Saccharomyces cerevisiae S288C: one gene and its partners. Changing the gene in region 3 together with the main gene of any one other region gives a genetic interaction. Each region holds a gene or a part of one and is shown on either strand. Other genes may lie near its edges.

Evidence for each region.
Region 1: of GAL3 (region 3) and GAL7, changing one enhances a phenotype caused by changing the other (phenotypic enhancement), as found in Saccharomyces cerevisiae (2 studies listed by BioGRID, with this or other methods).
Region 2: mutations in GAL3 (region 3) and YER137C together harm fitness more than expected from each alone (negative genetic interaction), as found in Saccharomyces cerevisiae (2 studies listed by BioGRID).
Region 4: mutations in GAL3 (region 3) and LAP3 together harm fitness more than expected from each alone (negative genetic interaction), as found in Saccharomyces cerevisiae (one study listed by BioGRID).

What each region holds. Positions count from the first base shown.
Region 1 is NC_001134.8:271,105-279,099, forward strand, and holds GAL7 (UDP-glucose:hexose-1-phosphate uridylyltransferase), read right to left. Parts: upstream 4,424-7,995; coding exon 3,323-4,423; downstream 1-3,322. Other genes in the region: KAP104 (Kap104p), read right to left, coding at 1-2,599; GAL10 (bifunctional UDP-glucose 4-epimerase/aldose 1-epimerase), read right to left, coding at 5,149-7,248; GAL1 (galactokinase), read left to right, coding at 7,917-7,995.
Region 2 is NC_001137.3:438,425-445,645, forward strand, and holds YER137C (uncharacterized protein), read right to left. Parts: upstream 3,396-7,221; coding exon 2,949-3,395; downstream 1-2,948. Other genes in the region: GDI1 (Gdi1p), read left to right, coding at 1,192-2,547.
Region 3 is NC_001136.10:459,473-468,002, reverse strand, and holds GAL3 (transcriptional regulator GAL3), read right to left. Parts: upstream 4,570-8,530; coding exon 3,007-4,569; downstream 1-3,006. Other genes in the region: ATP-binding cassette transporter SNQ2, read right to left, coding at 1-2,084; YDR010C (uncharacterized protein), read left to right, coding at 2,620-2,952; phosphoribosylanthranilate isomerase TRP1, read right to left, coding at 5,487-6,161; SOK1 (Sok1p), read left to right, coding at 6,756-8,530.
Region 4 is NC_001146.8:196,331-204,414, reverse strand, and holds LAP3 (bleomycin hydrolase), read right to left. Parts: upstream 3,847-8,084; coding exon 2,482-3,846; downstream 1-2,481. Other genes in the region: kexin KEX2, read right to left, coding at 1-1,987; iron-sulfur cluster assembly protein NAR1, read left to right, coding at 4,438-5,913; ZWF1 (glucose-6-phosphate dehydrogenase), read left to right, coding at 6,472-7,989. UniProt on the Saccharomyces cerevisiae protein: The normal physiological role of the enzyme is unknown, but it is not essential for the viability of yeast cells. Has aminopeptidase activity, shortening substrate peptides sequentially by 1 amino acid.

The DNA of each region.
Region 1 (7,995 bases), on a different chromosome or scaffold from region 3:
CATTACTCATTGTGACCTCCGTGCTGGTCAAATTGATAATTTTCAGGAAACCCATGTACGCGCTACTCTTTTCCTCTACATCGTCCAATGCGTTAACGGACAAACACCATTTATTCCAGTTGGAATCATTGGCAAATGCGCCAGAACTGAAAACTTCAGGGTGTGTTAGCCCCATTTTTCCGATGGTCACAGACAAGTTCTCCATCACAGAGCTGTCTACGATTTGTGTGTTGGTGGTAAATAAATCTAGAATGATTCTAGACATATCAATGATATAAGTATTCAAATCGATACGTTCGCTTATCAAACCAAGCGCCCATATCGCATTTATCACAGCAGGAGTACCATCACTATCGTCGTTATGCATTATTTCCGTACCAATCAACTTCAAGAAATCCTCCAAATTACCAATTACCAGTTCCGAATTGAAAAAATATACAATATCTCCCAACAGGGCAAAGCAGCTTTGTCTTACTTCATGGACAGGGTCCTGCAAACATTCTAGCATGATTTTCAATATCGTTAAATCCTTCGTCCCTTGAGGGAACAATAGATCCTGCGAGTGAGCGCCAAGACCTTGTACCAATCCATCAATCAAATCTAATGAGGTGATGATGAAGTCCTTCTCAGGCACTACTATTGTCGGGTCTTGATGTGATTTGGCTTCCAATTCGACACAATGACATAGAATTCTAAAGGCTCTGTTGTACACTTCTGGTGCCATAGGCATGAATCTTTCCCCCAGTGATGATGCCACGCAGGAAAGACATTCTAAAAGTGGCCACAGCTCCTTGTCACTGTCTGACAGCAAAGCCCATTTTTCAATTAAGGGCGGCAAAATTATTTGCATCGCTGTCTCGTCTAATGCACATTTTTCAGCAAACCTGCCGATGGCATCATATAATATAATTAAATTCTTTTTCTTGTAATATTTCAAACATTTATCAAAACTCGTCAATAATTGACTATAAAATAAAGTTTCAACCAATTCGGAGTCGGCGTTTTCAATAAATACTGCTACACTACTAATAGCCGCCTCTTGAACATCCTTTTTCTTGTCCATTAATGTGTTTATTATAGGTTCTAAGACTGGAATTAAAAACTCAGTATGGTCTTGTAATATCCATGGTGAAAACCTACTTAATGTCCAACATGTCATTTTCCTCACTGGTGCCCACTTATCGTTCAATTGTTCCACTAAAAATGGTATTAGTGCTGGTAAGCCATCATTAAAATACTTCATTCCACCTTCTGCCATGGCCCCCAGTGCTAATATAGTAGCTTCTCTAATAAACCACCTATCAGAACCCAAATGTTCTCTTAAAAATGGGAACGCTATATCCATCACTTGATGAGGTAAAATATTCGTCATTACATCTAGCGTTGCCGCGGAACATTTTCTCAAATTCCATTGCGTATCAACATCGCCATCTTCATCATCATCATCATCATCATCATCTTCGTTGTCATCTGCATCCTCTCCATTTCCTGCCTCTTTCTTTTTCACAATACGGGGTGCAATGGGCTTGATGTCCTCATCTTTATCCTCCAAGAATGCATCATCATCATTAGAAGCTTCCAGGAGAACGATGGATTCTTCGTTATAGACCATTTTCGATAATAATATTGGCACGATATCCTTAACATATGGTTGTAAGATATGTTCAGGAATATTTGGGCTCGTTGCAAAGGCGTGCAAAAACTCGCAGGCTTCAATAGCCACTTTTTCCTCATTTACAGTGGTGATCAAATGCAACATGAATTGTACAATACCATCTAAATGGGAAACCAGCTTATCTGGTCTGAATTCCAATAAGAAACTAAAACTAATGCAAATCTGTGCCCTAACTAGGTCGTTTTCGTCGTTTTGTGCCAACTGAAAAATAATTTCTAAGAATTTATCTAATCTCACAATAAAACTTTGTGTTTGTAGCGGGATCACTGTATTTATACATTTCACCGATTCTGAGCGAATCACAGGTGAGAAATTTGGATTCGAAATAAACCTAAAAAAACTATCCAATAAGGCTTCCATAGGCTTCGTATTTCCCGACCATTCCAATTGGAAAAATTGAGCGCTGTCTTCCATGATCTTAGATAAAGCCTTAATACTTGGCTCATTTCCATTTGAGGTTAGCTCTAGCAACTGGTAAAGCATTTGAAGACCAGTTGGATCATCTCTATGCTGCCTATAGTAAGTGGAAAATAAAGTAGTAATAACGATACCTGTCACGTTCGAAACGAGATTATTGTTCGAATTATAAAGGCCATGTATAATGTTTGATTTGACGTATCCTAAGTCGTGGCTATTGCTCTTAATTAAATTGTTTCCCCCTAGCATTGAATTTTTCAACAGCATACCGGCGGTAGCTCTATTGTTCTGAAGATCCTGTAGGGAGTAGTGTTGCTTCAATACATCATCAGATTCGCCTTCAATTAAAATATAACACAAATAATTGAGAAATTCAGGTTGCAGCTGGAAGTTCTCCATAGCTTCCATTGCGTTATTACGAATCTCTGGATTTGGTGACATACAGTTCTGTAAAAGAGTTGCTAGTTGCAACACATAGTCTTCGGCGGGCTTCCATGTCGATGCCATCTTTATTCACTTAACTACTGCTAACAATTCTGAAAACCAAAGACTGCGGAATATTCTGATATGTATTATTACTATTCACTGCTCTTCTGCATAATTAATACTGAAAAGTTTTTCATACTTTTAAACATAACCTTTTTTTAAGCAAAACTCTATAACCCGGATCAGAAAACTACGAAAAGAGGGTAATAACATAGGTGCAGGATTTCCATCGATAACGACACCGACAATGAGCCTTGCTGCAACATCCAATTAGGACTAATAACTATCGTAGGAATTTCTACGTAATAAACTTCAACAGAGCCTAAAATTTGAAAATAAATAATCTAGAGGGGAAACTTAAAGAAATTCTATTCTTGTCAATAAAGTGGAAATGTGTCAGATGTCACAGTTTCTTTATTTGTGACACATATTTTCAACATAAATTCAGGCATTAGTGCTTTTATAAGCATAAGAAGTTGTGGCGATATGAATATTCCAGATTTTACTTACAAGCTGCATTGTATTCCTAAAATTCTTTTTTCTTTTTTTTTTTTTTTATGGAAAGGACCACTCTTACATAACTAGAATAGCATTAAGAATCAGATTTACAGATAATGATGTCATTATTAAATATATATATATATATATTGTCACTCCGTTCAAGTCGACAACCAATAAAAAATTTAAAAGAAACCAGGCAGTTAATAGAAAAAATATGATATGAATGAATATTCCACTTTCTTTTTACAGTCTTTGTAGATAATGAATCTGACCATCTAAATTTCTTAGTTTTTCAGCAGCTTGTTCCGAAGTTAAATCTCTTTGAGGCTCACCTAACAATTCAAAACCAACCAAGAATTTCCGAACAGTAGCTGATCTCAGTAAAGGTGGGTAGAAATGCATGTGAAACCAACTATTACTCAATTCATCACCAGTCGCATTCAAAGGAGCCTGATGGATACCCATTGAGTATGGGAAACTCGTTTCAAATAAATTATCATACTTAATAGTTAGTTGCTTTAAAATCGAGGCGAGGTCCTCCTTCACCATTTGGTTAAATTGGCTAATTGAGGCAAGCTTCTTCTTTGAAATGACCAAGGTCTCAAATGGCCAGATGGCCCAGTATGGAACAACAACAATAAAGGATTCATTCTCCACTACGACTCTTGACTTCTCTCTTGATTCTAATTTGACGTAATCGGCAAACAAATCAGTATTGTGTTCACGTTTATATTTATCAAAAGATTTCAATTCTTGCGAAACTTCACTAGGGATGGATTCTAAGCACCAAGCTTGGCCATGTGGATGTAAGTTGGAACAACCCATGGCTGTACCTTTGTTTTCAAATATTTGGACATATTTGAAAGGCTTATGATTTTCTCTTGCTTCTCTGGAGAGATCGTCAGTCAATGCTTGCCAAGAATTAACAATATGAACCAGATCTGATTGTTTCATTTGTGGAATGGTTAGATTATGATTGGGGCTAAAACATATGACGAAACAATTGCCTCTCACAGATTGCACTTTAAGCAGCCTATTTTTAAGATTATCCTCATTGGAATCATTCTGTGGTAAAATAGGTTGATCGAGCCTAACGGCAGCATAATCATTGGGGAAAATATACGTTGATTCATATCTTGGGTTTAGGTTACCAGTAGCTCTTTTGTTACCAGGACATAGATAGCATTTTGGATCATACAATGGAGCTGTGGGCTTGTAAGCAGCCTCCTGTTGACCTAACCAAGGTCTTTTAGCTCTGTGTGGAGAAACTAAGATCCATGAATCGGTTAGTGGATTGTAACGTCTATGGGAATGGCTAGAAAAATCAAATTCTTCAGCAGTCATTTTTGAGGGAATATTCAACTGTTTTTTTTTATCATGTTGATGCTCTGCATAATAATGCCCATAAATATTTCCGACCTGCTTTTATATCTTTGCTAGCCAAACTAACTGAACATAGCTACACATTATTTTCAGCTTGGCTATTTTGTGAACACTGTATAGCCAGTCCTTCGGATCACGGTCAACAGTTGTCCGAGCGCTTTTTGGACCCTTTCCCTTATTTTTGGGTTAAGGAAAATGACAGAAAATATATCTAATGAGCCTTCGCTCAACAGTGCTCCGAAGTATAGCTTTCCAAAAGGAGAGGCAAAGCAATTTAAGAATGTATGAACAAAATAAAGGGGAAAAATTACCCCCTCTACTTTACCAAACGAATACTACCAATAATATTTACAACTTTTCCTTATGATTTTTTCACTGAAGCGCTTCGCAATAGTTGTGAGTGATATCAAAAGTAACGAAATGAACTCCGCGGCTCGTGCTATATTCTTGTTGCTACCGTCCATATCTTTCCATAGATTTTCAATTTTTGATGTCTCCATGGTGGTACAGAGAACTTGTAAACAATTCGGTCCCTACATGTGAGGAAATTCGCTGTGACACTTTTATCACTGAACTCCAAATTTAAAAAATAGCATAAAATTCGTTATACAGCAAATCTATGTGTTGCAATTAAGAACTAAAAGATATAGAGTGCATATTTTCAAGAAGGATAGTAAGCTGGCAAATCAGGAAAATCTGTAGACAATCTTGGACCCGTAAGTTTCACCGTTTTTCAAGGTTACACAATCTTTCCAGTTCTCTTGATTGATAGCATCAATGTATCTACCAGGCTCAATTGCAAAACCTTGTCTTGCTTCGTAACCAGCAGACAAGAAATCACCGGTATAAAATTGATAAGTTGGCTCTGTACTTAAAACTTCTAATGTAATATTGGAATCGGGATGAAAAGCCTTGACAATAAGCGTCAATTCATTGTTTAGAGTATTGATTTGACTTGGCTTAGCATTTTCATCCACCACAAAACAACAATCAAACTGGGGATTTTTGGGGCCTAAGACCGTTGGCTTTGTAGAGTTAAAGGTAGCAATTTCTCTATCGACGATATTACCCGTAGGAATCATGTTTTTGTCGACATCAACAGATTTTTTTGAACGCACCATAATCTCCGTACCCTCAATAGTGTCTCCATATGGCTTGTTCAGATTGAAATAACTATGATTTGTTAAATTTATTGGCGTCGCTTCACCAGCAGTCAATTTACCTTTATATACCATTTCCAAACTTTTTTGGGCAACGTTCACAGTATACTGTATGGTTACCAATAGATCACCTGGAAATTCGGTGTCCTTCTCATTATCTATCAGCATGTACTCGGCGGTAAAAACATCCTTTGAAGGATTTTGAATGATGGGTCCCAAAAATCTTTTTCTGTGGAAAGAACCGATACTACTATGATTCGCATTAACGCCGTTATTAACGGTTAACTGATAGTCTTTGTTGCATAAACTAAACTTACCCTTCGAAATACGATTAGCATACCTGCCGATCGTGGCGCCTATATAAGCACTATCAGGATTCAAATACCCTTCCTCATTTTCATAGCCAAGAACAACTGATTGTCCGTTCACTTTCAGGTCAACAATGCTGGCGCCCAAATTGGCAAACGTGGCTTGAAATCTGGTGCCGGCACCAATAGTCACAAATCTTGCGTCATAACGCATATCTTCAGCGGAAAATCTGGCCTCGACACCCCTTAACTGGTAACCAAAAGGATTCTCAGTAGTCCATTTCCATAAATCCTTGCAGGAGTCTTCAACCTGCAACTCGGTCTGCCATTTCAGTTCGCGTTTGGCCCTATCTGGTTTAGCCGTCAAGTTCAAAACATCACCTGCTCTTCTGCCCGTAACTTTGTATGGAAGATCAATACCAGAAGCTTTGCAGAATGCATGATAAACTTCAAAAACTGTAGAACCTTTACCGGAACCCAAGTTCCACTCACGACACAAACCTTCATTTTCATTGTAGGCCTCTAGGTATTGCAGGGCTGCAATATGACCTTTTGCTAGATCAACTACGTGGATATAATCCCTGATCGGGGTACCATCTCTGGAATCATAATCGTCTCCGAAGATGTAAAGCTTCTCGCGCCTACCAACAGCTACTTGAGCCATATATGGCAACAAATTGTTTGGTATACCTAGCGGATCTTCTCCGATTAATCCAGAGGGATGTGCGCCAATTGGGTTAAAATAACGCAAGATAGCAAACTTCCAACTTTTTTTGTCGCTATTGTAAAGATCATTCAAGATATTCTCAATGGCGTATTTCGTATGACCATACGGATTAGTAGGCCCTAAGGGACATTCTTCTGGGATAGGAATCATATTTGGGAATCTCGTAGCATCACCATAGACAGTAGCAGAAGATGAAAAAACAAATTTGGAAACGTTGTATTGTTGCATTAACTCTAATAAAACGACAGTTCCCAAAATGTTATTGTGATAGTATCTCAGCGGGATTTGTGTAGATTCACCTACAGCCTTTAAACCAGCAAAGTGAATTACCGAATCAATTTTATATTCTTTGAAAACCTTTTCCAGACCTTTTCGGTCACACAAATCAACCTCATAGAAGGGAATGTGATGCTTGGTCAAGACCTCTAACCTGGCTACAGAATCATAAGTTGAATTCGACAGGTTATCAGCAACAACACAGTCATATCCATTCTCAATTAGCTCTACCACAGTGTGTGAACCAATGTATCCAGCACCACCTGTAACCAAAACAATTTTAGAAGTACTTTCACTTTGTAACTGAGCTGTCATTTATATTGAATTTTCAAAAATTCTTACTTTTTTTTTGGATGGACGCAAAGAAGTTTAATAATCATATTACATGGCATTACCACCATATACATATCCATATCTAATCTTACTTATATGTTGTGGAAATGTAAAGAGCCCCATTATCTTAGCCTAAAAAAACCTTCTCTTTGGAACTTTCAGTAATACGCTTAACTGCTCATTGCTATATTGAAGTACGGATTAGAAGCCGCCGAGCGGGCGACAGCCCTCCGACGGAAGACTCTCCTCCGTGCGTCCTCGTCTTCACCGGTCGCGTTCCTGAAACGCAGATGTGCCTCGCGCCGCACTGCTCCGAACAATAAAGATTCTACAATACTAGCTTTTATGGTTATGAAGAGGAAAAATTGGCAGTAACCTGGCCCCACAAACCTTCAAATTAACGAATCAAATTAACAACCATAGGATGATAATGCGATTAGTTTTTTAGCCTTATTTCTGGGGTAATTAATCAGCGAAGCGATGATTTTTGATCTATTAACAGATATATAAATGGAAAAGCTGCATAACCACTTTAACTAATACTTTCAACATTTTCAGTTTGTATTACTTCTTATTCAAATGTCATAAAAGTATCAACAAAAAATTGTTAATATACCTCTATACTTTAACGTCAAGGAGAAAAAACTATAATGACTAAATCTCATTCAGAAGAAGTGATTGTACCTGAGTTCAATTCTAGCGCAAAGGAATTACCAAGACCATTGGCCG
Region 2 (7,221 bases), on a different chromosome or scaffold from region 3:
TCGAATAAACTAAGATTCACTTTATTGGGATATAATCAATTACCCTTCATTAAGTGGTGTATATGTTCCTGACGTATTGTCATTTTCGGGATAAGAGGTTTGATGACTATTTCTCGATTTTCATGTCATCCTCTTTACACCGTACGTGATAATACACTAATTACACGATATAACTGAGCAATGATATTTTAGAGCTTCATCTCCACAATTTCATGTGTAAATCTTAAGAATTGTAGATATATTCTATTTTTTAATGAAACTTTTTCAACAAATTAGGTTTCGTGGTCTAGTCGGTTATGGCATCTGCTTAACACGCAGAACGTCCCCAGTTCGATCCTGGGCGAAATCAATTTTTTTTTTCGAAAACGTTATAATTTACGTTAATTTACAAAGGGCATTCCTTTCATACTAAGCAATGTTTACTTCCAATCTCTTGAGACATCTTCGAAACTAGTTGAAAAGAGACAAATCCGCTTAATAACTAATAGTTACAAGAATGGCCAATCAAACTCTTGCCAAGCGATACAAGCTTTACAATCCTGTAACAAAAACATACTTTTAGCGGTTCCGACGGTATTCTTCTTTTTCTCCATATATTTTGCTTATGTTGGCTACTTTAAAATAATTACCGCTTCCCCCACCAGAAACTAAACATGAGCTAAAGGCGCAAAACTTAAAAAATTACATAGCCAAGACTGTTTTCAAGAAAAAAATATCAGACCACATTTGATAAAGTACATACCTCTGTTAACTCCCGTAATACACCCATATTCTTGTACTTTCTACAATCTATCACTCAAACTTCTCTATTATCCAACATCTGCTGTTGCATAGTAAAGTAGGCCGTAAACGCTCAAAACCGTTATCTTTAGGTTACCCTTATGTTTGAATCGTTTATCTCACATTGGCGGTGTTTTCCCCTCTCCTGTGGGCTCCAAAATCTTGGCCGTGGGAAGCTTCAGCGAGGGATTGTAGATGTAGTTTCAACACGTCGGCTGATTTATCCCGATTTTGTTAGTAGAAAAGGTTCTACTTCATTCTTGCTTGAGACGTCGTCCCATCAAATTTCTAACATAGTCTTTTTTCAAGGAAGGATATTTTTCAAAGCAGGACTGCAATTAGTCTTTTCCTTTTCTTTACTCCCCTTCCATCATAACTGTTAGTGAATAACCACTTATATAGCATAACACAATGGATCAAGAAACAATAGACACTGACTACGACGTGATTGTCTTAGGTACCGGTATTACCGAATGTATCTTATCTGGTTTACTCTCTGTAGATGGAAAAAAGGTATTACATATTGACAAGCAAGACCATTATGGTGGCGAAGCTGCTTCTGTGACCTTATCTCAATTGTATGAAAAATTTAAACAAAATCCGATCAGTAAAGAGGAACGGGAGTCCAAGTTTGGTAAAGATAGAGATTGGAATGTCGACTTAATTCCTAAATTCCTGATGGCCAATGGTGAGCTGACAAATATTTTAATACATACCGATGTGACCAGATATGTCGATTTCAAGCAAGTTTCTGGCTCCTACGTTTTTAAGCAAGGCAAAATTTACAAAGTGCCAGCTAATGAAATAGAAGCCATTTCATCGCCATTGATGGGTATTTTTGAAAAACGTAGAATGAAGAAATTTTTAGAATGGATTAGCTCTTACAAAGAAGATGACTTGTCCACTCATCAAGGATTAGACTTAGACAAGAATACCATGGATGAAGTGTATTATAAATTTGGGTTAGGCAATTCTACCAAAGAATTCATCGGTCATGCAATGGCTTTATGGACCAATGATGACTACTTACAACAACCTGCTAGGCCATCGTTTGAGAGGATTTTGTTATATTGCCAAAGTGTTGCCCGTTACGGTAAATCACCTTATTTGTATCCTATGTATGGGTTAGGCGAACTTCCACAAGGATTTGCTCGTTTGTCGGCTATTTACGGTGGTACTTACATGCTAGACACTCCAATTGATGAAGTATTGTATAAAAAAGACACAGGAAAATTTGAAGGGGTCAAGACTAAGCTGGGAACTTTCAAGGCCCCATTGGTTATTGCTGATCCAACTTATTTTCCCGAAAAATGTAAATCTACTGGTCAAAGAGTTATTAGAGCCATCTGTATTCTTAACCATCCAGTTCCGAACACCAGTAACGCGGATTCTTTACAAATTATTATCCCACAAAGCCAACTGGGAAGGAAAAGCGATATATACGTTGCGATTGTTTCAGATGCGCATAACGTTTGCTCCAAGGGTCACTATTTAGCAATTATTTCTACAATCATTGAAACTGATAAACCACATATAGAATTAGAGCCTGCTTTCAAACTTCTGGGACCAATCGAAGAAAAATTCATGGGAATTGCCGAATTATTTGAACCAAGAGAAGACGGCTCTAAGGATAACATTTACTTATCCAGATCATACGACGCATCCTCTCATTTCGAATCCATGACTGACGATGTTAAAGATATTTACTTCAGAGTAACAGGCCACCCATTAGTTCTAAAACAAAGACAAGAACAAGAAAAGCAGTAAATTCATACCTTTACGACTAAAGCAGCAATTGGAGGGTAAACTTATTTTTTCCGATAATGTTCTTGGCAAATGAGTTACCAATAAATGACATGAATTACAGAAAACAAGAAAATATTTGCCAAAAAAAAACCAATACAAAAATATAGGGGAAAAGATTATCCTTTATTCCTTTCTCATTCCACTTTTTTTTTTTGTTATATGCGTATTCTGATTGATTCATAACTAAGTATCTTTCCTTTTCTTTTCTTTCAATTTCTTTTTTCCATATATAAATACATAAATTTACATACCTTATGTAGTATAATATATGGAAGAATGCTACTGAACACATCAGTACACATGCTATGTACTTACAATCTTAGTAAGGTAGATGTAGGTCTAATGCTTCGATGATCCCTTCATTATTTCTTGGGTATAACTGTCAGTCTCGCACCGCAGTGTGCCCTTGTGTGGCCAGCCTCGTGACAAAATGAACATTTTATCTTATTTTTTTTCTTTTTACTACTCTTTTTGCTGGTTACTCCCTGAATAGTGCTCGTAGTTTTATCTGCCTCTTCCTTGGCTTTAATCGGTATCAGGGCATATTTTTGATCGTCTTTTTCCATGATCTCTATTCCATTCCGCAGTACCATGTCAAGAACACTAGTATTCATCATACTTCCCACAGTGCTTTCATGCAATCCCAGTAGTAGGTTAATGAATTTCTCTAATTCTTTCAACTTATGCTCGTACTCAACTTGTAATTGTGATCCATCTTTTTGCTTTGAAATGATCAACTTAGCCAGGACATCCATAGCTTGTGACAATCTGACTATATCATTTTCAGTCTTATTTGATGATTCACACATTCCTTGTTATAACAACCCTCGGTATTCTTTTAACAAACTTACGATGACTATATTGTATTAGTGTCAACCTCATCGCCAGGAACTTTTCATTGAAAATCTTCTGACAAATTTTCTGTGTAAAGGAAAGAAAATGGAGTATAAAATCGAAAGTTTATTCCAATTGTGCTAGGCTGTAATGGCTTTCTGGTGGGATGGGATACGTTGAGAATTCTGGCCGAGGAACAAATCCTTCCTCGCGGCTAGACACGGATTGCACGCCCTTTGGGCAAGGGATAGTTCTCTATTCCGCACCGTGCCCTGTTGTGGCAACCGTCTTTCCTCCGTCGTAAATTTGTCCTGGGCAGAGCTGTCTGCCCGGAGGCGGGAGAGTCCGTTCTGAAGTGTCCCGGCTATAATAAATCGATCTTTGCGGGCAGCCCGTTGGCAGGAGGCGTGAGGAATCCGTCTCTCTGTCTGGTGCGGCAAGGTAGTTCTGGGTCCTTAGGGGCTCCACCTTCACCGCTGTTAGGGGAGTTTTATCCAGCGTCAGCAAAGGTGACCCGTGATGGAGGCGGCCGGGATAGCACATATCAGTCGGATAATTGTGCAAGTTGATCGCTTCGGCGGTTTAATTTGGCGGTGCCATCAGGATTTACTCGCACATTGTGGCCGTTCCCTCGGGGATGGAGTGTGTCCTGAACCATATTTTTTAACATTTTTTTGAACTAATTAACCGTCCCAATGAGGGATGTTGGAAGAGTAAGTTGATTTAATGTCCTATTCTTGTTCTTTTCGAATATAAATGACGATTGGAAGGTGCATGTCAATGTTTATCATCATGTTCTTGTTGTAGGTAGTCCTTACCTTGGTTGTAGAGTGAGTAGCGACAGGCGGCAGCGGAATATAAGAAGGATAAAATGAGAATACTTAGAACGTGTTGAAAGAAGAATAAACGATCATCCATCGACTAGTACTGCTGCTACTAGTGTGCTGTCATACTACTAATATATTATCATATACAATATAAGAAGATGTCATAAACATTGAAAATAGTCATCAAATCTAATGGAAGCTGAAATTCAAGGGTTGATAATGTAATAAAATAAAGAATGACAAAGTATAAAAGGAAGAAGATAGAGTAACATTATTATGTAGAGCTATCAATTCGCTTTTTGTAGATTCCTATTTTTTCTCGAGGAGAATTGCAGCATATTCGTTCCACGTAATATTGCGGCCTTTAACAACAATGTAATTCCAACAATTATCTTAAAATTTGTCTATATTTTTAAAAAAGTATGAACAATTACCAACATGTGGTACATATTGGAGGCCCGCAAAGCTGAGTTGGCATTCATTCATTCTTTAAGTTGAACAAAAAGACAAAAAGATTTTCAAAAAAAATATGGTCTCTAGCGGGATCGAACCGCTGATCCCCGCGTTATTAGCACGGTGCCTTAACCAACTGGGCCAAGAGACCAAATTTTAATGAAATACTTTTACTGGAAAGAAGGTAACAAACCATGGAAGATGCTTTTCTACCACCCATGAAAGTCTGAGATTTTTATTAATGATGTTGGAATAAAAATCAACTATCATCTTGAGAAATGGGTGAATAATTAGATAATTGTTGGGATTCCATTGTTGATAAAGGCTATAATATTAGGTATACAGAATATACTAGAAGTTCTCCTCGAGGATATAGGAATCCTCAAAATGGAATCTATATTTCTACATACTAATATTACGATTATTCCTCATTCCGTTTTATATGTTTATATTCATTGATCCTATTACATTATCAATCCTTGCGTTTCAGCTTCCACTAATTTAGATGACTATTTCTCATCATTTGCGTCATCTTCTAACACCGTATATGATAATATACTAGTAATGTAAATACTAGTTAGTAGATGATAGTTGATTTCTATTCCAACATACCACCCATAATGTAATAGATCTAATGAATCCATTTGTTAGTTAATAGTTTAAATGTTTTTATCGGAAGAGGTTTTGTCATCACATCAGCAATGTTCTTCTTGGTCTCGATGTAGTATACGTATAAATTATTACCTGATACTTCATCTCTAAGTCTCATTGCCTTTGTGCCAAAAAATCTGTTTCTAAATTTCTCTTCATTTGTAGACTTAATTATACTGATCGTTGATCTACTATCAGTAAGTAAGCCTTTAATAATTGGTTTCTTGTTAAGTTCTTGTATCAGGTAACTTAGATTATTTAATAATGGGACAGATTCACTTATCGCGTGTATTTCTGCTTCCGTAGTTGAAGTACATGTTAATGAAGCCTTGGTGGACTTTCCTCCAATTACCTTTCCATTAAGTAAATATATGTTGCCAATTTGTGATTTATAATACGGTTGGTTGCCATACGAAGCATCACTTATTGCGACTAGTTTATTATCTGGCTCGGTAGGTTTGTTTTTGTGCCATATCAGTTGTTTATCTCTAGTGTCCCACATGAATTGTATCAACTCATATGTCATGTCTAAAACTTGCCTAGAGGGGAATAGTATATGTTGAGCAAGTGTGTTGATGTAGTATAGTAAGTCAAATCTAAATTTATATCCAACATATGAAGCTAGACCAATCAACTTTTGCATTTCATGTACCTTCTCTTTGTATTCATCTTCATCTATTTCTAGTTCATCCTGGTCTATATAAAGACCTGGTTGACCTGGAGCGCTAAGTTTTCTTCCTTTTGGATTCAAAGGTACGTTTAATTTGGGTATTTTCTCAGTTAATGAGTTTTCCATACCTAATTTCATGTATTTACCTCTTTGATATTTGATTTCTAAGCCAAGTATGTCGTACTGAATTTCGTTATCACTTTCACCCAGATTTATTATCTTTGTATCGTATTGTTTCTTGAGTGTTGTTATGATTTTCTTATTTGCATTTAAGTCTTTGCTGAATAAAATCATGTCGTCAACAAATAAACATATTGTTACTTGACTATTCTTAAATACGCATGACCATCCACGAACTTCTTCCATACCACACTGTTTTATCAGGTATGATTTGATAGTTTCGTACCAGTTCGCTCCACTTTGTTTCAATCCATAAAGTGATTTCTTCAAACGTATCAACTTATCATTCATTCCTAAATGTGGTGGAGGTCTTATGTATAATTCTTCTTTGATGTCTGCATACAAATATGCCGAAGATATGTCTAATTGTGTAATATAGTAGTTATTGTCTAATGCAAGTGACAGGGATGTCATTAATGCATAGTGATGTACGGTATTGGATTGCATGCCTGAGTCGTAAGTGTCAGGATGCTGAATATCACCTCTTGCAACAAATCTAGCTTTATGAGTACCGTCACGTTTCTTGTTGAAGATAAACATTGAGTTTATTACTCTTTTAGGGTCTATTTCTTTTCTGTCATAATATTCGTCAGTGTCCCAAGTTTTCATCTTCAACAGTTGATTGACTTCTTTGTGGTATGCCTCGATATATTTTTCTTTTTCTTTAATATCTTTATTATAGGTGATTGCCTCATCGTATCGTAAGGTTGTCCGTATTGGTTTGATTGATTTTACTGCTTTTACAGCTGCAATCAGGTGAATTCGTTTCTTCGATCTCGGAGGTTCTAAACTACGCATATTCTTAGTATTCCATGTGTCTCGTGATACCTTAATTTCAGTTTCATTATCTTCTAATGATCTTTTCTTACTGTTGATAGTAGTATAGGCATTAGAGTCACCAATACCACCCAAACTGGAATTAGTTTGATGAGAATTTATCGGTGGGAGTTCTTTAAATGGGTCAGGGAATTCGGTAGGAGATTCTGGAGGTAGATCAGGGAGTGGGAGATCAGCGATGAT
Region 3 (8,530 bases):
ACGTACGATATCCATTTAAACCATGGATGCATCGAAGGCAATTGGATCATATAGGTAGAGTACATTGAGATAGACATCATCAGAATACCCGAGATAGAGTTAGCTTGAGAAAGAGTGTCACATACTGAAGAAACCATCTCAAATAAACCATTGATCGCCTCTGAACACATGGTTAAGAACAAATAGATGGTAAAAAATGATCCCGCTGTTCTGTGCAACCCAGATAGGAAGAATAAAATGATAAAGAAACAGGTCAAACCAATCATTCTGAAGGGGAAAGATGCCAGAGTGGAGCCAATTGCCTCAGCTGAAGGATGATACAAAGAATAGCCCTTGTGCTTTTGTAAGATTGGCCTATGTTCAAAAGAAATATTCGCCAGTCCCATCAAAGAATAATATAGTAGCGCAAAATACAACACACCACCTCTTGAAAAAGCACCGGAAGTGGATGAAGGGGTATTGTAAAATAATGATCCAGTAATAAAAGATTGAATTATTGCAGAGCAGACATTGATGACTGTATAACTCTTGTTACCGTAAATTCTTTGGAACCCACGTTGGGTACACAGTTTAACTTGTTCCCAATATGACACTGTATAATAAGACTTCTTTCTCGTATATTTGGATTTCTCTTGAGCCATCGATTCGTCATAAACTTCTTTAGTCTTTTCGGTATTGACCTTCTCTTTATAAGCAGCGATATCTTTTTTCATTTGAGCAAACTCTGGAGAATTTAACCAATATGTTTCGAATTCCTCAGCGGTTCTTGGTACTTTATTTTCATAACCTGGCTTGATCAGATGGAATCCATTTGGATCAGTCAACGCGGTTAAAAATTCAGCTGTTGCTTGCCTTGGAGGACACAAATAACCCATTTTTGCGAAATAAGGTTTTGCCTCGTGGATCAAACCAAAATAAATTTGCTTACCAGAATAAAGGACAGTGACTTTATCAAATGTTTCGTAAATGTTTTCACTTGCCTGATAAATTGTAACAAAAGCGGTTGATTTCAATAAGTTTGTCATAATACGGATGGCTTTTGCGTATTCTAAGGCCGTAGACGCATCCAAACCTCTAGTGGCATTATCCCAACAGTAAATGGAACCTTTGGCTGCCAAAGCCTCGGCAATGGAAACACGCTTACGTTCACCACCAGATACACCTCTAACGAAATCGTTACCAACTTTGGTATTATAGGTATGCCTTAGACCGAAAATGGTTGCATATAAATCTCTTCTGGATGCAATGTATTCCTTTTTGGAAACGTTATTGACTCTGAGAGCAGGCGTTTTGCAGGCAATAGCGAAATCCAAAGTTTGCTTAACTGTTAAATAAGGGAAATGAACATCCAACTCACCATTGTAAATAACATCTGCTTTATATCGTTTCATCATTTCTTCTTGGGGAATACCATCATATGCTACTTCACCGGAAACACCACCGGCAAACTGATCTATTTCACCAGCTGTTACTTTTAAAAAGGAGGAACAACCAGCACCAGGCCTTCCAAGAACCAAAATCATTTCACCCGCTTCTGCCAGGGCATTGACATTGCTTATGATCTGTCTCATCTTTTGATGCCTCTTAGCCTTAATACCTTTAAAGATGGTCAACGGTAAACAAAGAATGTTACCAAAGGTAGCACCTTCTAGGGCACTCGCATCCACACCTTTAGCGCTTACGTCCTCTATGGTAACACCAGCCTTGCGGATATGGATGCCTTGCTCATCAGCGTCTCTTACAAAACTTTCAAAGATGGCATGGGCATCGAACCCATCGTCACTATCTGAATCCATATTAAAGGCACCGCTTCTCGTTGTATGACGGGATAGTGCATCTGCAAATGACTCCACTTTAGATACGACATCTGGCGCCATTTCAGACACAGTGGCACTAATCTGGCTCGCAGTGTCTCTTGCAGGTCCTGTCAGCATTTTTGTTAGTTTATCCGCCGGGGTATCGCTCTGCTCATCTTTGTCATGGGTTATGCCCGTAAATGATTCTTCTGAAGCTGCAAAAGAAGCGCTTGAGCTTCTAGCGACAGCATTATGAGAGCTATCTTGCGTGCTTTTGATATTGCTCATTGAATTCTCTTTACGTATTTTGGTAGCTGTGTTATTCTATCCACTTTTTTACTGCTTTCGGTCTTCGATATAGTTTTTCTTTTTTTATGTCTCTGCGGGTACGTCCGCTATACCTTCGTTTTCTCAGGGAGCTTGAACTCTAATCAATGGAAGGAGAAAATAATCAATGTTGAAGACGATGGATGCACTGAGAATGTAATGCACTGGTGATATAGTAACTCCTATATCCTACAGTGAGCTTTTTTTTTTTTGACCTCGCAACACTTCAACTTGAAAAACAAAAGATACAAATACACTAGGTTCGTATATATTGTTTTCGTTAGGTATTTATTTATCTACAAGCATATACAAGCATAAAAAGTGGTGAGGCGATAGCGGTGAGGGAGGGGCACTACTCATCATTTGTTTTATATGTTGATGTTGCGTAGTCACTATTAGTAATACCAATACCCAGCGGGGTTGCAGGGAATACAATGGAAAGACCTAAAGAAAATAGAAAACGGATTTAAACGGAAATGGGCGGACATTTAGTCATATGTGCGCGGAACCAGACGACTGGGAAAGGATCGAAAGGCATCCGCGGAAACTTAAAATAGCTCCGCGGATGCTAGATTTCTACGAGTCATACATAGTCTGGCGTGAAGGTAATTTTTTTTTATGTCTCCGTTCTTTTCCAAATGGGGTGATCCGTGGAGGGCGGTGCTTCTTTCGCGCCACTTCCTTGCCGTGGAAAAATGTGTACGGTTACCATGGTCACATAACCTCTGTGTGCGGAGCCACTCTGACTCGCATCAACCGGGCTATGGTTGCATCGGATGCTGGAATGGGTTCTATTGGACTCACCAACTTGTTTCTTTATAGAGTGTAAGAGGTATGAGTAAACTTTTAATATTTAAAGGTTGTTCCAAGAAGGTGTTTAGTGTTATTGTTCGTACAAACAAGTACCCAAGGCAGGCTTCGAAACTATAATTGCGTCTTTTAGTTCTTCATCTGTGAGATCCGGATATCTTACATTGTAGAATTTTTCGATTAGTGCTTTTCGTACCTGTTCCACGTTCCCATTAGCGCCACTAGGAACAAGGTGGATAGTGCAACCGCCCCAACCAGCGCCAGTGAGACGGGAGCCGAAAGAACCATTTGCTAGGGCAATCGAGCATATTTGATTGGTTTCTATGCACGAACATTCATAAAGTTTATCACAAGAGGCCTGGGACTCATTCATTAGTCGGCCAAAATCTGTAAAGAAATCTTCGTCCGTGTGAAAAGTGGCACTTGTCATCATTTTTAAAGCCTTAAGCACCCTTAAGGATTCGGAGTAAACGTGTTTAGCTCTTTGATATAGTTTCAAGACTTGGAAGCGGACGGGAAAAGTTGTCAGGTAATCTCTAGTGAACTCCTCACGTGAACAGTTTAGCGCCGTAGAGGCTTCATGTACAGTGAATCCGCTCTTTTTCCTCGAGAAAGATTCTTCTACCAATTGTAGCATCTTGAGTAAACGTTCAATACCAGTTCCGATATCTCCATTCCATGGTTGGGCTTGGTTTTCGTATCTGGCGTAGTAAGCATCCATAAAATCTCTTAGATTCCCTCTTTCTGAGTTAGAATTGTCCTTGTGAGATGGTAAGGCCACGCTGTATCTGGTCGCCAAGGCGTTGGCAGCAACTGTTACCTCTATTACTCTTAAATTGTAATTTGTAGGAGCAGTTTCGAATTTATTAGACTTTACAAGAGTATTGGCGATGACGAAACTGATTTCATGATTTTTCAATTGAGGAAACTTGAAAGGTGTGGCCTTTAGTTTTGGCCTAAACTCTACGTATAGAGCATGATCTTCTTCCCCATAAACAGACGTTGCTTGATCCATACCACCATTATTGACTCCAACATAGTGCTCAGCAACCGCTGTGATGCGGGTCAAGTCTTTTTTGGAAATATCAAAATTTTTTCCCATATTGGCTCTAATTGTGGCTAGTGCTGCCGCGCAAGTAAATGCAGATGAGAGTCCACCACCAGTAGGAATATCGCTCTGGCAAAAGATCTGCGCACCTACTAAGGGTGTATTATTAAATCTTTCCGGAGCAATTTTTTTCAAGTATGAATGTGCCACATGTAGTCCGCATTTAAAGTAATTCGACCATTCCGACACAGACGGATCTATGGCCATGTAGGAACCATCTAAAGGCAGATCAAACTTTCGCTGAGCAAATTTAGGGTCCGCATTTGTTAAGGTAATGGATGGATTTTTTTCGTCTAAAATTTTAACTGCGCAAAGCATATCCACATCAATGGCTAATGGCAAAACTGAAAAATCGCAATAATCTATATGCTCACCAATCAGATTTACTCTGCCAGGAGACCTAGCGATAAAATCAGGTTTGACATGGTATGTTTGGAAAAATGCATCTACAACCGCTAAATGTTTTTGTTCGAAAGACCTTGGTAAATCTCTGACCGGAGAACTGAATATTGGAACGTTTGTATTCATACTATGTGTTGCCCTACCTTTTTACTTTTATTTTCTCTTTTTGCACTCCTGATTCCGCTAATAGGAAGTATGAATACCTGGGGTTGTCAATGTGGTAACAAAGGTGTTGCCTCACTTGTCGCTTATGATGATTATATACGTTTCAGTAAAAATTTTACTGCCTATGTGTTGCAGGCGGTCAATCAATTGCATAAAAGACCGTGTGATGGCTTGGCATGGCGATTTCATTCTTTCAAGAATTCCACATGTTAAAATAGTGAAGGAGCATGTTCGGCACACAGTGGACCGAACGTGGGGTAAGTGCACTAGGGTCCGGTTAAACGGATCTCGCATTGATGAGGCAACGCTAATTATCAACATATAGATTGTTATCTATCTGCATGAACACGAAATCTTTACTTGACGACTTGAGGCTGATGGTGTTTATGCAAAGAAACCACTGTGTTTAATATGTGTCACTGTTTGATATTACTGTCAGCGTAGAAGATAATAGTAAAAGCGGTTAATAAGTGTATTTGAGATAAGTGTGATAAAGTTTTTACAGCGAAAAGACGATAAATACAAGAAAATGATTACGAGGATACGGAGAGAGGTATGTACATGTGTATTTATATACTAAGCTGCCGGCGGTTGTTTGCAAGACCGAGAAAAGGCTAGCAAGAATCGGGTCATTGTAGCGTATGCGCCTGTGAACATTCTCTTCAACAAGTTTGATTCCATTGCGGTGAAATGGTAAAAGTCAACCCCCTGCGATGTATATTTTCCTGTACAATCAATCAAAAAGCCAAATGATTTAGCATTATCTTTACATCTTGTTATTTTACAGATTTTATGTTTAGATCTTTTATGCTTGCTTTTCAAAAGGCCTGCAGGCAAGTGCACAAACAATACTTAAATAAATACTACTCAGTAATAACCTATTTCTTAGCATTTTTGACGAAATTTGCTATTTTGTTAGAGTCTTTTACACCATTTGTCTCCACACCTCCGCTTACATCAACACCAATAACGCCATTTAATCTAAGCGCATCACCAACATTTTCTGGCGTCAGTCCACCAGCTAACATAAAATGTAAGCTTTCGGGGCTCTCTTGCCTTCCAACCCAGTCAGAAATCGAGTTCCAATCCAAAAGTTCACCTGTCCCACCTGCTTCTGAATCAAACAAGGGAATAAACGAATGAGGTTTCTGTGAAGCTGCACTGAGTAGTATGTTGCAGTCTTTTGGAAATACGAGTCTTTTAATAACTGGCAAACCGAGGAACTCTTGGTATTCTTGCCACGACTCATCTCCATGCAGTTGGACGATATCAATGCCGTAATCATTGACCAGAGCCAAAACATCCTCCTTAGGTTGATTACGAAACACGCCAACCAAGTATTTCGGAGTGCCTGAACTATTTTTATATGCTTTTACAAGACTTGAAATTTTCCTTGCAATAACCGGGTCAATTGTTCTCTTTCTATTGGGCACACATATAATACCCAGCAAGTCAGCATCGGAATCTAGAGCACATTCTGCGGCCTCTGTGCTCTGCAAGCCGCAAACTTTCACCAATGGACCAGAACTACCTGTGAAATTAATAACAGACATACTCCAAGCTGCCTTTGTGTGCTTAATCACGTATACTCACGTGCTCAATAGTCACCAATGCCCTCCCTCTTGGCCCTCTCCTTTTCTTTTTTCGACCGAATTCTTAATCGGCAAAAAAAGAAAAGCTCCGGATCAAGATTGTACGTAAGGTGACAAGCTATTTTTCAATAAAGAATATCTTCCACTACTGCCATCTGGCGTCATAACTGCAAAGTACACATATATTACGATGCTGTTCTATTAAATGCTTCCTATATTATATATATAGTAATGTCGTTAACCGTTGATTTTTACTGATTGGTCTCTGCCGTGCGGGTGAGCGGCGCGTCCAGACGGGCGGGTGCACGTTTCTTTTTCTGACCATTTCCCTGTCAGCTCTTTTAGATCGGGGCTGCCGTTTGAAAAGTTTTATCATCGCCAGACATGCCATAAGGAATATCTCCACCGCCTCTAACTGTCCCTAACTCGGTCTCTTTCTTATAACTACCATTACTCAGTGTTGAGAGATTGGTAGAAATATACGCGTATACGTTCATTCAAGACTTATTTTCAGCCAGTAATATTCCCTACTCCTCTTCCGTTTTCAGAATAGAGATGGACCAGCCAAGGACCCATTCAGGACCCACGACGGCCAGCAATCCTGCCCCCAGCTCCACCAACTCGTCATCTGCTCCCAGCGCGACTAATTCAAAGCAGGAAAGATCCTCTTCGTCACTGTCCAAACCTTCGTCAGTGGTTCCTTCAAAGGATTCACCAGATGGTGACGCTATTGCTAAGACTCAAGCAGCCGCTTTAAAAAACGACATGAAATCTGGTGATACCAGTACATTAGATGGGTCATCTCAAAATATAATTCCAAACAGAGCCTCAATGCAAAAATATATTGACCAGTCATCAGATCTGCTGTCGAGGAGCTCCGGCGTAATAACGCCCTCCATGTCTTTGAATGCAAGCACTAACGCCACTAACAACGATAGCAGTGGCAATTCAGCTAATAGTAGTGATTTGAAGATCCCTATAGACAGGGACAATACTATATTCAAGACGTTCGACACCAAGACTGGTCAATTCTTGAAAAACGATGATAATGAAGAAGAAATAAGGAGGAACAATAAAGTTGATTCGATACCCCCAAAGAATATTTATACTAATATCAACAATCCATCTCCCTCCCCACCACCGTCGTCAAAGCAACCACCGTCTGCATCCGCGCCGCAATTGCCACCAGCAACGGAACCACACAAAGAACAAGCAGCACAACAACAGCCACCAGGAAATGCTTCTAACTTTTTAAGGATCTTTTCAAATAAAAAAATGAGGTCGCATTCCGTACCCACTATTTTGCATTCTTCTTTAAGAAAATTATCATCCCACAATCAATACTATCGTAATCAAAATATTCTTTTAAATCATCCAACTCCTTCCGGCATATCAAAGAAAAAATTTTCTAGAAACCATCATCAACCATATTTGCATTCTAATAATCCTCTCAGTTCAAACCCTCTTTCATTAAAGCGCGCAATTTTTTTAAATCAACAAATATCAGGTAACGCAAGCACTAACGCTAATAATGACAACATTAATAATTCCACTGCCACTTCAATGACAAATCAAAGCTTCCTATCAAGCTCAAACTTTGACTTAACTTTGGAAGATAGAATAAACTACATAAAGGCTACTCCAACGCCTGTTCCATTTCCTCCTATAAATTTGCAGGGCTTAAAAGAGATTGACTTACAGGAAATTCTGAAAAACCCACAACTAAGACATGATATAATATTCGACCCGCTACTACAATTCAGGCCAAATCTTGATGGCGAAAGAGGGAATAAAAAAAGACAATTGGCGAATATCTATTGGAATGATGTTCAAAATGAAATTTATGTTTACTCTAAGAGGCCTGAAATATTCCAATATAACAGGTCAAGACTAGTCCCACTTTTTGACACTTTAAGGGATGTATTGTTAACGATAGTCCCACAAAAAGAGTCTCCGATGATAAATAATGTACTGGACACAGAATTGAACATTCAAGAACTATTGAAAGGTTCTCTGATAATGTCTAACTTGTCAGGCTGGTTGGCTGATTTATTTAAACATCATTGTGCCCCCATGAGGGACCCATGGGTGGATAAAATGAGCAACAAATTTAAAGAAGCTGAAAGAGACTCTTCTTTAACAAGGTTAATAGAAGGTTTAAGGTTGGTTTTTCAAATTTTGGAAACAATGAAATTGGATATTGCCAATCATCAAATAAGAATACTAAGGCCAGCTCTGTTAAGTAATGCTGTAGAATTTGAGAAACAGTATTTCAACACTCTTATAGCCTCTAAAAGGGTGAATTTAAATACTTCCCTACTTTGGTTTGA
Region 4 (8,084 bases), on a different chromosome or scaffold from region 3:
CAGAATCAGGATCGGTACTCGCAGTAGTCGTTTGGGGAATGGCCGACGTTTCCACACCAATTGAGATAGAAGATGTAGAAGTAGCGCTGATGGAAATAGAAGTTGAACTGGCAGAATATTGTGATACGGTACTTTCTGTAGCAGCTGGTTCAACCTCCTCTTTATCGTTTCCAAAGACGAAAGTTTCTGTTTTAGATGAATCAATGGATTCCCCAAAGAGCTTCAGCCTCCAACTGTGGAAGTCAATCCTGTGTCCATTTTCTGTTGTCTTAACCTTGATTTTCCAATCACCTACGCCGTTCTCACCCCAATGTGCTACAGACATGAATGTCCAGTCTTTGAATCCCTCTGATGAAACATCTCTTGGTCTTACAACGCCAAGGTTTGAAATTATCCCCGCTGGTGATATTAAATCGACAGTCGTAGTTCCCCTAATTTCTGTATCAATATCTACAGTTACCGTGACGTGCTCAATTCTCTTGAAGTTAGCATCTTGAAGACTTTTTTCTGATATGGTTATGACGGATTCTAATGTCTCTTCCGTGGAGTTTGTGGACTGGGAAACATACAATGTTGGCAGGTAAAACCAGGTTTGTGCGTTAACATTCTCCCAGGTCTTGGACATTTCAATTAACTTATGGGCATCGATTTTACCAAAGCCATAGCGATGAGAGTATTTCTTCCCCATGGCGCTATCTCTCCAATCTCCGTCAGCGTTCTTTTCTAACCCTACCGCAGACAAGATTGATAAATACTGTACGTCTCTCCAAGTTAGGTTTGGGTTGGCTTCTAGTAACAAAGTGTAAACACCGGCAGCTAATGGAGCAGCCGCAGACGTTCCACCGTGGCTATTACTGCATCTGCCGTTGATATCACTCGAATGAATATATTCGCCTGAACCTGAAGAATACGTGACTGCCATGACGGCGGAACAACCTTCGGAATAAGGAGGATGTAGATCTTTGTGATCAATAGCCCCAATAGTAATAGAATATATGGAATTAGTATAGCCGTCGTAATTGCAATTATCACCACGAGTTCCACCATTTCCACTGGCAAAAACGTAAATCGCTCCTTTGGAATCTCTTCCCTCAGTAACACCTTTTACTAAAGCCTTTTTCACCAGGTCACTAGGGCCTTGTAAATGTCTTCCGTCATCAGCGGGACCCCATGAGCATGAATATATATCGTTTACGTCTAGACCATAAATCAAGGACGCAGCTTCATCTTCCGTAGTGATATCACCGGATAAGATTCTTATGCCTGAGATTTTAGCGTTGTAACCTACCCCGACACCGCAAAAATTGTTACCTTTTTTGGCAGCTATTTCACCTGCACATCTCGTACCATGGTAGTCATCAGATAATCTTGGTTTAGGTAAATTGGTATTGTCGTTGAAATCCCAAGAACCTTCAGCGCAAAAATTATCCTTCAAGTCTTCATTTTCGTAGTCAAGGCCATCATCAACAATGGCAGCCACGACCCCTGCGCCTGTAATATTATTGTACCACAGATCAAGAACATTTATATCACTGCCAGGAAAACTTGGATTGACCAAGTGCCACTGCCTCTCAAAAAGCGGATCATTTATGCTGAGTTTATCCTCAGCTTCTTTTACCGGTAACAAGCTTGAGTCCATTGGTGGAGCAGGCACCGGTAGTCTCTTAAATAGGTCGTTACGCGGGAATAAATCATGGACAGATAATATGTGGTCGTTGTTATCCCCCTGTAACTCTTCTAATGATGATCTTTTGCCCAATTTTAGCAACTCTTTTGAAAAAACATAATGGTTTGGTAGCCCTCGAACATCATGTTCATATTTCCAATTTGGATGCATTTCCTCCAAGCGGGATAATGTTTCATTGCTTTCTACAGCAAAATACTGTCGTGACGTATGGTCCTTCAATGGAATTTGTTGTGATGATACAAGAGCGGATGTTGAAAAGGCCCACCAAAAGCATAAAGTAATATATTTCCTCACTTTCATCTGATAATGGGTTAGTAGTTTATAATTATGTGACGAGGCCAAAAAACAACGGGATTAGTTTATCCTTAGTATGGTAGCCGAATGAATGAAATATGTGGAATAGATTTCTCTTTTACAAAACGGGATGTTTAAGCCAGGAAAAAGAACAGGCTTATGACAGAATTATGCATATGAAACGAGAGAAAGAACACGTCCAGCAAATATGGAGTACCTTGTTTGCCTTTAGAAAATGTTTCGGTTTCAATACTGTTCTCTTCAGCGATGCTGTTGAAGTATCAGCTCAGTTATTTAATATGCTAACCTTTCCTTTGTTTGTTTTCTTTTTCTATCTTTATTTTTTTTCCATTTACCGTTTTTTGCGTTTCAGAAAATGACCCTCATTGATTATATGAATAATAATATACACGTTATCATTTTTTATTTCTTTTATGTATGTATAGTAAAAATAAAACATGTCGAGATACGTGTATCTACATCAGAGCTGCTGAAACTATTTATTTGGCCAAAGCACCCATTGGGTCCCAGATGGGCAAGACAATCGGCTCTTCCTTACCTGAGGTGAATTTTGAAGCCAGCTCTTTTGGCAATTCATTGATATCGACCACAATTTGAAAGCAGTACTCCTCGAAGTACTTTTGAGTCATCACGTATAATCCGTCTTTACCGGAGTCTTTACCCCAGGAATTTTCAACGCGGTAGCGAAGTGGTAATTTAGACGTTTCATCGACGTGGCAGCCAGTGATCAACATAGCATGAGTCATCAAACTTTCATGGTATCTAATACGCGATGCCTTTTGCTGAGGTAAATTATAGCCGATGGCAGGATAGTTCCACAATTCAATATCCATGACACCAGTTTTCTTGTCCATGAACTTTGGAGTGTGAGATCCAAAAAAGACAGCTTTGTTATTTTGTAATCTCTTAACAACCAATTTAGATAGTGTTTCATTGTCAACATTTAAGTAAATCACGGCATCTCCGCCAAGGACGTTTCCTAAACGATCGATCTTAATTAATTTACCATATGGGTGTCTTGGATCATTGATCAATGAGACTGGCGTGGAAGGGTCCAATTTTGCGTATTTGGAGGCAAATTCTAACGGAGTCGATTTGATAGTGTGGATTTTCTTGTCTTTGTCAACGTATTCCCAAGTGAATTGCTCGTTTGGTTGCACTGGAGGTATGTCCATGAACAACGACATCAACCTGAAGATTTCTCTTTGCATTTGCTCTCTCAGAGTGACAATTATGGAATCATCGGCAGAACGCTCTTTCAAAGCTGTTCTTAGAGTCTCGGCAAATTCTCTCAGTTTAGTAGTCAACAGAGAATTCCATTTTCTGGACGCAGTAGTAGAATAAGGTAGATCCCCGTATAAATCTTTGGGGATAAGGCCATACTTCTTGACTAGGTTCAAAAACATGCTGTATTGGCCACCGTCTTCTGTTGGAGCTGCTAACAAGTATTGCACGAGACGTGAGTCGATGTCTTGATCAGCCGAGGAGACGATTTGGTCCAAGAAATAGTTGGCCTTTTCCAACTTATCGTAAAAGAACAAGTAAGCTTGGGACAGTTCGAATTCTTTTAAGTTCAATTCAGAAAGAACATTCAAGCGCAGTTGATTGGTAGCGGCAAACAACCAACATCTACCAGAGCTTTTTTGGTTGGTGACTGGAGTGGAATCAGTAGAGACAACAGTGTTGAAAACCCTGTTATCTTGCTTTTGCAGTCTAGTCTTGTTCAACAGTGCATCATCGGCATTATAATTCTTAAGGACAGTGGTTGCCAATTGATGGGTTAAGTCGGATTGAAACTCTTTGTTCCAAGAGTTGATCTTACTGATATCGATGGAAGAGGACATTCTTTTTAAAACAATTTGTGGTGCTCGTAAAAGGTGGCTTCTAAACGTCTTGAGATACAAGGACCGGGAAACAGAAGTAGGAAGCATGTAACAAAAGAGCAAGGGCTATTTATCGTTTATTTATGGGTGCCCGTCGGCGACTTGTCAGCCGGCGTTATCAATTGATTACCACATGCAACCCCATTGATTAAGAGAGCAGGTGACTTTCTGGTGGGAGGGGAAAAAAGGATGTGTCACTCACTACCCGGCGATTGCATGCTATTTGACACATACTAAAGCAAAATAACATATGTAGCATAATCAATAAAGCGACTATTTTCTAAATTTCAAAAAGCACTGAATATACGATGCCTCTTCACAGGATTAAGAGACAAAATTTGCCTGTTTGTAAAGCATATTGCCTGCCTTTCCGCTAGTTTTTTCTTTTCCACTTCCTATTTTCTTTTTTTACCAGTTTTCCCTGCTCATCGCATGAAGAAAAAAATGATAAAAGCGTTTTATGGTGATGACTAAGAAACTTGTCTTGTCAGCTGGAAAGATAAGAGAGGGAGCTTCCTTTTCCTGAGTGACAAGATAAGTGTACAAGAAAGCATGAGTGCTCTACTGTCCGAGTCTGACCTAAACGATTTTATCAGTCCCGCCCTTGCGTGCGTCAAACCTACCCAGGTGAGCGGGGGCAAGAAGGATAACGTTAACATGAACGGAGAATACGAGGTGAGCACGGAACCAGACCAACTGGAGAAGGTCTCTATTACCCTATCAGACTGCCTCGCGTGTTCTGGTTGTATAACGTCTAGTGAAGAAATCTTGTTGAGTAGCCAAAGTCACTCGGTTTTCCTGAAAAACTGGGGGAAGCTTTCGCAGCAGCAAGACAAATTCCTCGTTGTGAGTGTCTCGCCACAATGCAGACTATCTCTTGCGCAGTACTACGGCTTAACATTGGAGGCGGCCGATTTGTGTTTGATGAATTTTTTCCAAAAGCATTTCCAGTGCAAGTATATGGTTGGAACGGAGATGGGCAGAATCATATCGATTAGCAAAACCGTAGAGAAGATCATTGCGCATAAGAAACAAAAAGAAAATACCGGTGCGGACCGCAAGCCTCTATTATCTGCTGTGTGTCCGGGATTTCTTATATACACGGAAAAGACCAAACCGCAGTTGGTGCCTATGCTGCTCAATGTCAAGTCGCCTCAGCAAATTACGGGCTCGTTGATCAGAGCTACGTTCGAGAGTCTCGCTATCGCGCGTGAGTCCTTTTACCATCTGTCGCTGATGCCATGTTTTGACAAGAAACTAGAAGCGTCAAGGCCAGAATCGCTTGACGATGGGATTGACTGTGTCATTACGCCACGTGAAATAGTGACAATGTTACAAGAGTTGAATTTAGACTTCAAGTCGTTTCTTACTGAGGACACAAGTTTATATGGGCGGCTATCACCGCCGGGATGGGACCCGCGAGTCCACTGGGCGTCGAATCTGGGAGGCACTTGTGGTGGCTATGCCTACCAGTACGTAACGGCTGTCCAACGACTACACCCAGGAAGTCAGATGATAGTTCTGGAGGGTAGAAACAGCGACATTGTCGAGTACCGATTGCTGCACGATGATCGCATAATAGCCGCCGCCAGCGAGCTTTCCGGGTTTAGAAACATCCAAAATCTGGTGCGTAAACTGACCTCGGGCTCCGGGTCAGAGCGCAAGAGGAACATCACCGCTCTGCGGAAGAGACGAACAGGTCCAAAGGCGAACTCACGCGAGATGGCGGCCGCCACGGCCGCCACGGCCGATCCCTACCACTCGGACTACATCGAGGTAAACGCGTGTCCGGGTGCATGCATGAACGGTGGTGGCCTACTCAATGGCGAGCAAAACAGTCTCAAGCGGAAGCAGTTGGTTCAGACACTGAATAAGCGTCACGGAGAGGAGCTAGCAATGGTAGATCCTCTAACCCTGGGACCCAAGCTAGAAGAGGCGGCAGCCCGCCCGCTTTCGCTAGAGTACGTCTTCGCGCCCGTCAAGCAGGCCGTCGAAAAGGATCTCGTCTCTGTTGGGAGCACCTGGTAAGTAAGGTGTAGTTTTGCACCCGTGTACATAAGCGTGAAATCACCACAAACTGTGTGTATCAAGTACATAGTGACATTTAAATAATAGCAAGAACAACAATAATAGTAGCGCTACTGGAAGCACCACGTAATAGTGGAAAAGAACTGGAAAAACCGCTATAAGATGCATACTCCGGCGGTCTTACGCGGAGATACAAGCTTCCAACGGTGCTAAAAGCCCGGTTTCGGCTCGGCCGGAGGAGGAAGAGAGACGAAAAAAAAAAAAATGACTAAAAAAAAAATGGAATATTATTAATGTGGGATTTTTGGCTCAAGGTGTGGTGGCCCCTTTTCTAAGGGTGGCGAATTCTTCAATGTACGGAAAACTCGCCAAGGCTATCCCATATATAAGCAAACTGTGGGTTCATCTATATACCGACACATAACACCTAAAGTGGCTTCCTCCTGCCCCTCTCTCCCTTTTCTCCACTCACCCCTCCTTCTCCCCCTTCCCCCTCTCCAATTGGCTGTATAGACAGAAAGAGTAAATCCAATAGAATAGAAAACCACATAAGGCAAGATGAGTGAAGGCCCCGTCAAATTCGAAAAAAATACCGTCATATCTGTCTTTGGTGCGTCAGGTGATCTGGCAAAGAAGAAGACTTTTCCCGCCTTATTTGGGCTTTTCAGAGAAGGTTACCTTGATCCATCTACCAAGATCTTCGGTTATGCCCGGTCCAAATTGTCCATGGAGGAGGACCTGAAGTCCCGTGTCCTACCCCACTTGAAAAAACCTCACGGTGAAGCCGATGACTCTAAGGTCGAACAGTTCTTCAAGATGGTCAGCTACATTTCGGGAAATTACGACACAGATGAAGGCTTCGACGAATTAAGAACGCAGATCGAGAAATTCGAGAAAAGTGCCAACGTCGATGTCCCACACCGTCTCTTCTATCTGGCCTTGCCGCCAAGCGTTTTTTTGACGGTGGCCAAGCAGATCAAGAGTCGTGTGTACGCAGAGAATGGCATCACCCGTGTAATCGTAGAGAAACCTTTCGGCCACGACCTGGCCTCTGCCAGGGAGCTGCAAAAAAACCTGGGGCCCCTCTTTAAAGAAGAAGAGTTGTACAGAATTGACCATTACTTGGGTAAAGAGTTGGTCAAGAATCTTTTAGTCTTGAGGTTCGGTAACCAGTTTTTGAATGCCTCGTGGAATAGAGACAACATTCAAAGCGTTCAGATTTCGTTTAAAGAGAGGTTCGGCACCGAAGGCCGTGGCGGCTATTTCGACTCTATAGGCATAATCAGAGACGTGATGCAGAACCATCTGTTACAAATCATGACTCTCTTGACTATGGAAAGACCGGTGTCTTTTGACCCGGAATCTATTCGTGACGAAAAGGTTAAGGTTCTAAAGGCCGTGGCCCCCATCGACACGGACGACGTCCTCTTGGGCCAGTACGGTAAATCTGAGGACGGGTCTAAGCCCGCCTACGTGGATGATGACACTGTAGACAAGGACTCTAAATGTGTCACTTTTGCAGCAATGACTTTCAACATCGAAAACGAGCGTTGGGAGGGCGTCCCCATCATGATGCGTGCCGGTAAGGCTTTGAATGAGTCCAAGGTGGAGATCAGACTGCAGTACAAAGCGGTCGCATCGGGTGTCTTCAAAGACATTCCAAATAACGAACTGGTCATCAGAGTGCAGCCCGATGCCGCTGTGTACCTAAAGTTTAATGCTAAGACCCCTGGTCTGTCAAATGCTACCCAAGTCACAGATCTGAATCTAACTTACGCAAGCAGGTACCAAGACTTTTGGATTCCAGAGGCTTACGAGGTGTTGATAAGAGACGCCCTACTGGGTGACCATTCCAACTTTGTCAGAGATGACGAATTGGATATCAGTTGGGGCATATTCACCCCATTACTGAAGCACATAGAGCGTCCGGACGGTCCAACACCGGAAATTTACCCCTACGGATCAAGAGGTCCAAAGGGATTGAAGGAATATATGCAAAAACACAAGTATGTTATGCCCGAAAAGCACCCTTACGCTTGGCCCGTGACTAAGCCAGAAGATACGAAGGATAATTAGAAAAATGCAAGCACATTCATTTATCGGCTAAGTCACTGAAATTTTTTTTTTCGAGTGATTTTATCTTGCAAGCTCACTCTCTTTGTTCTTTTCTC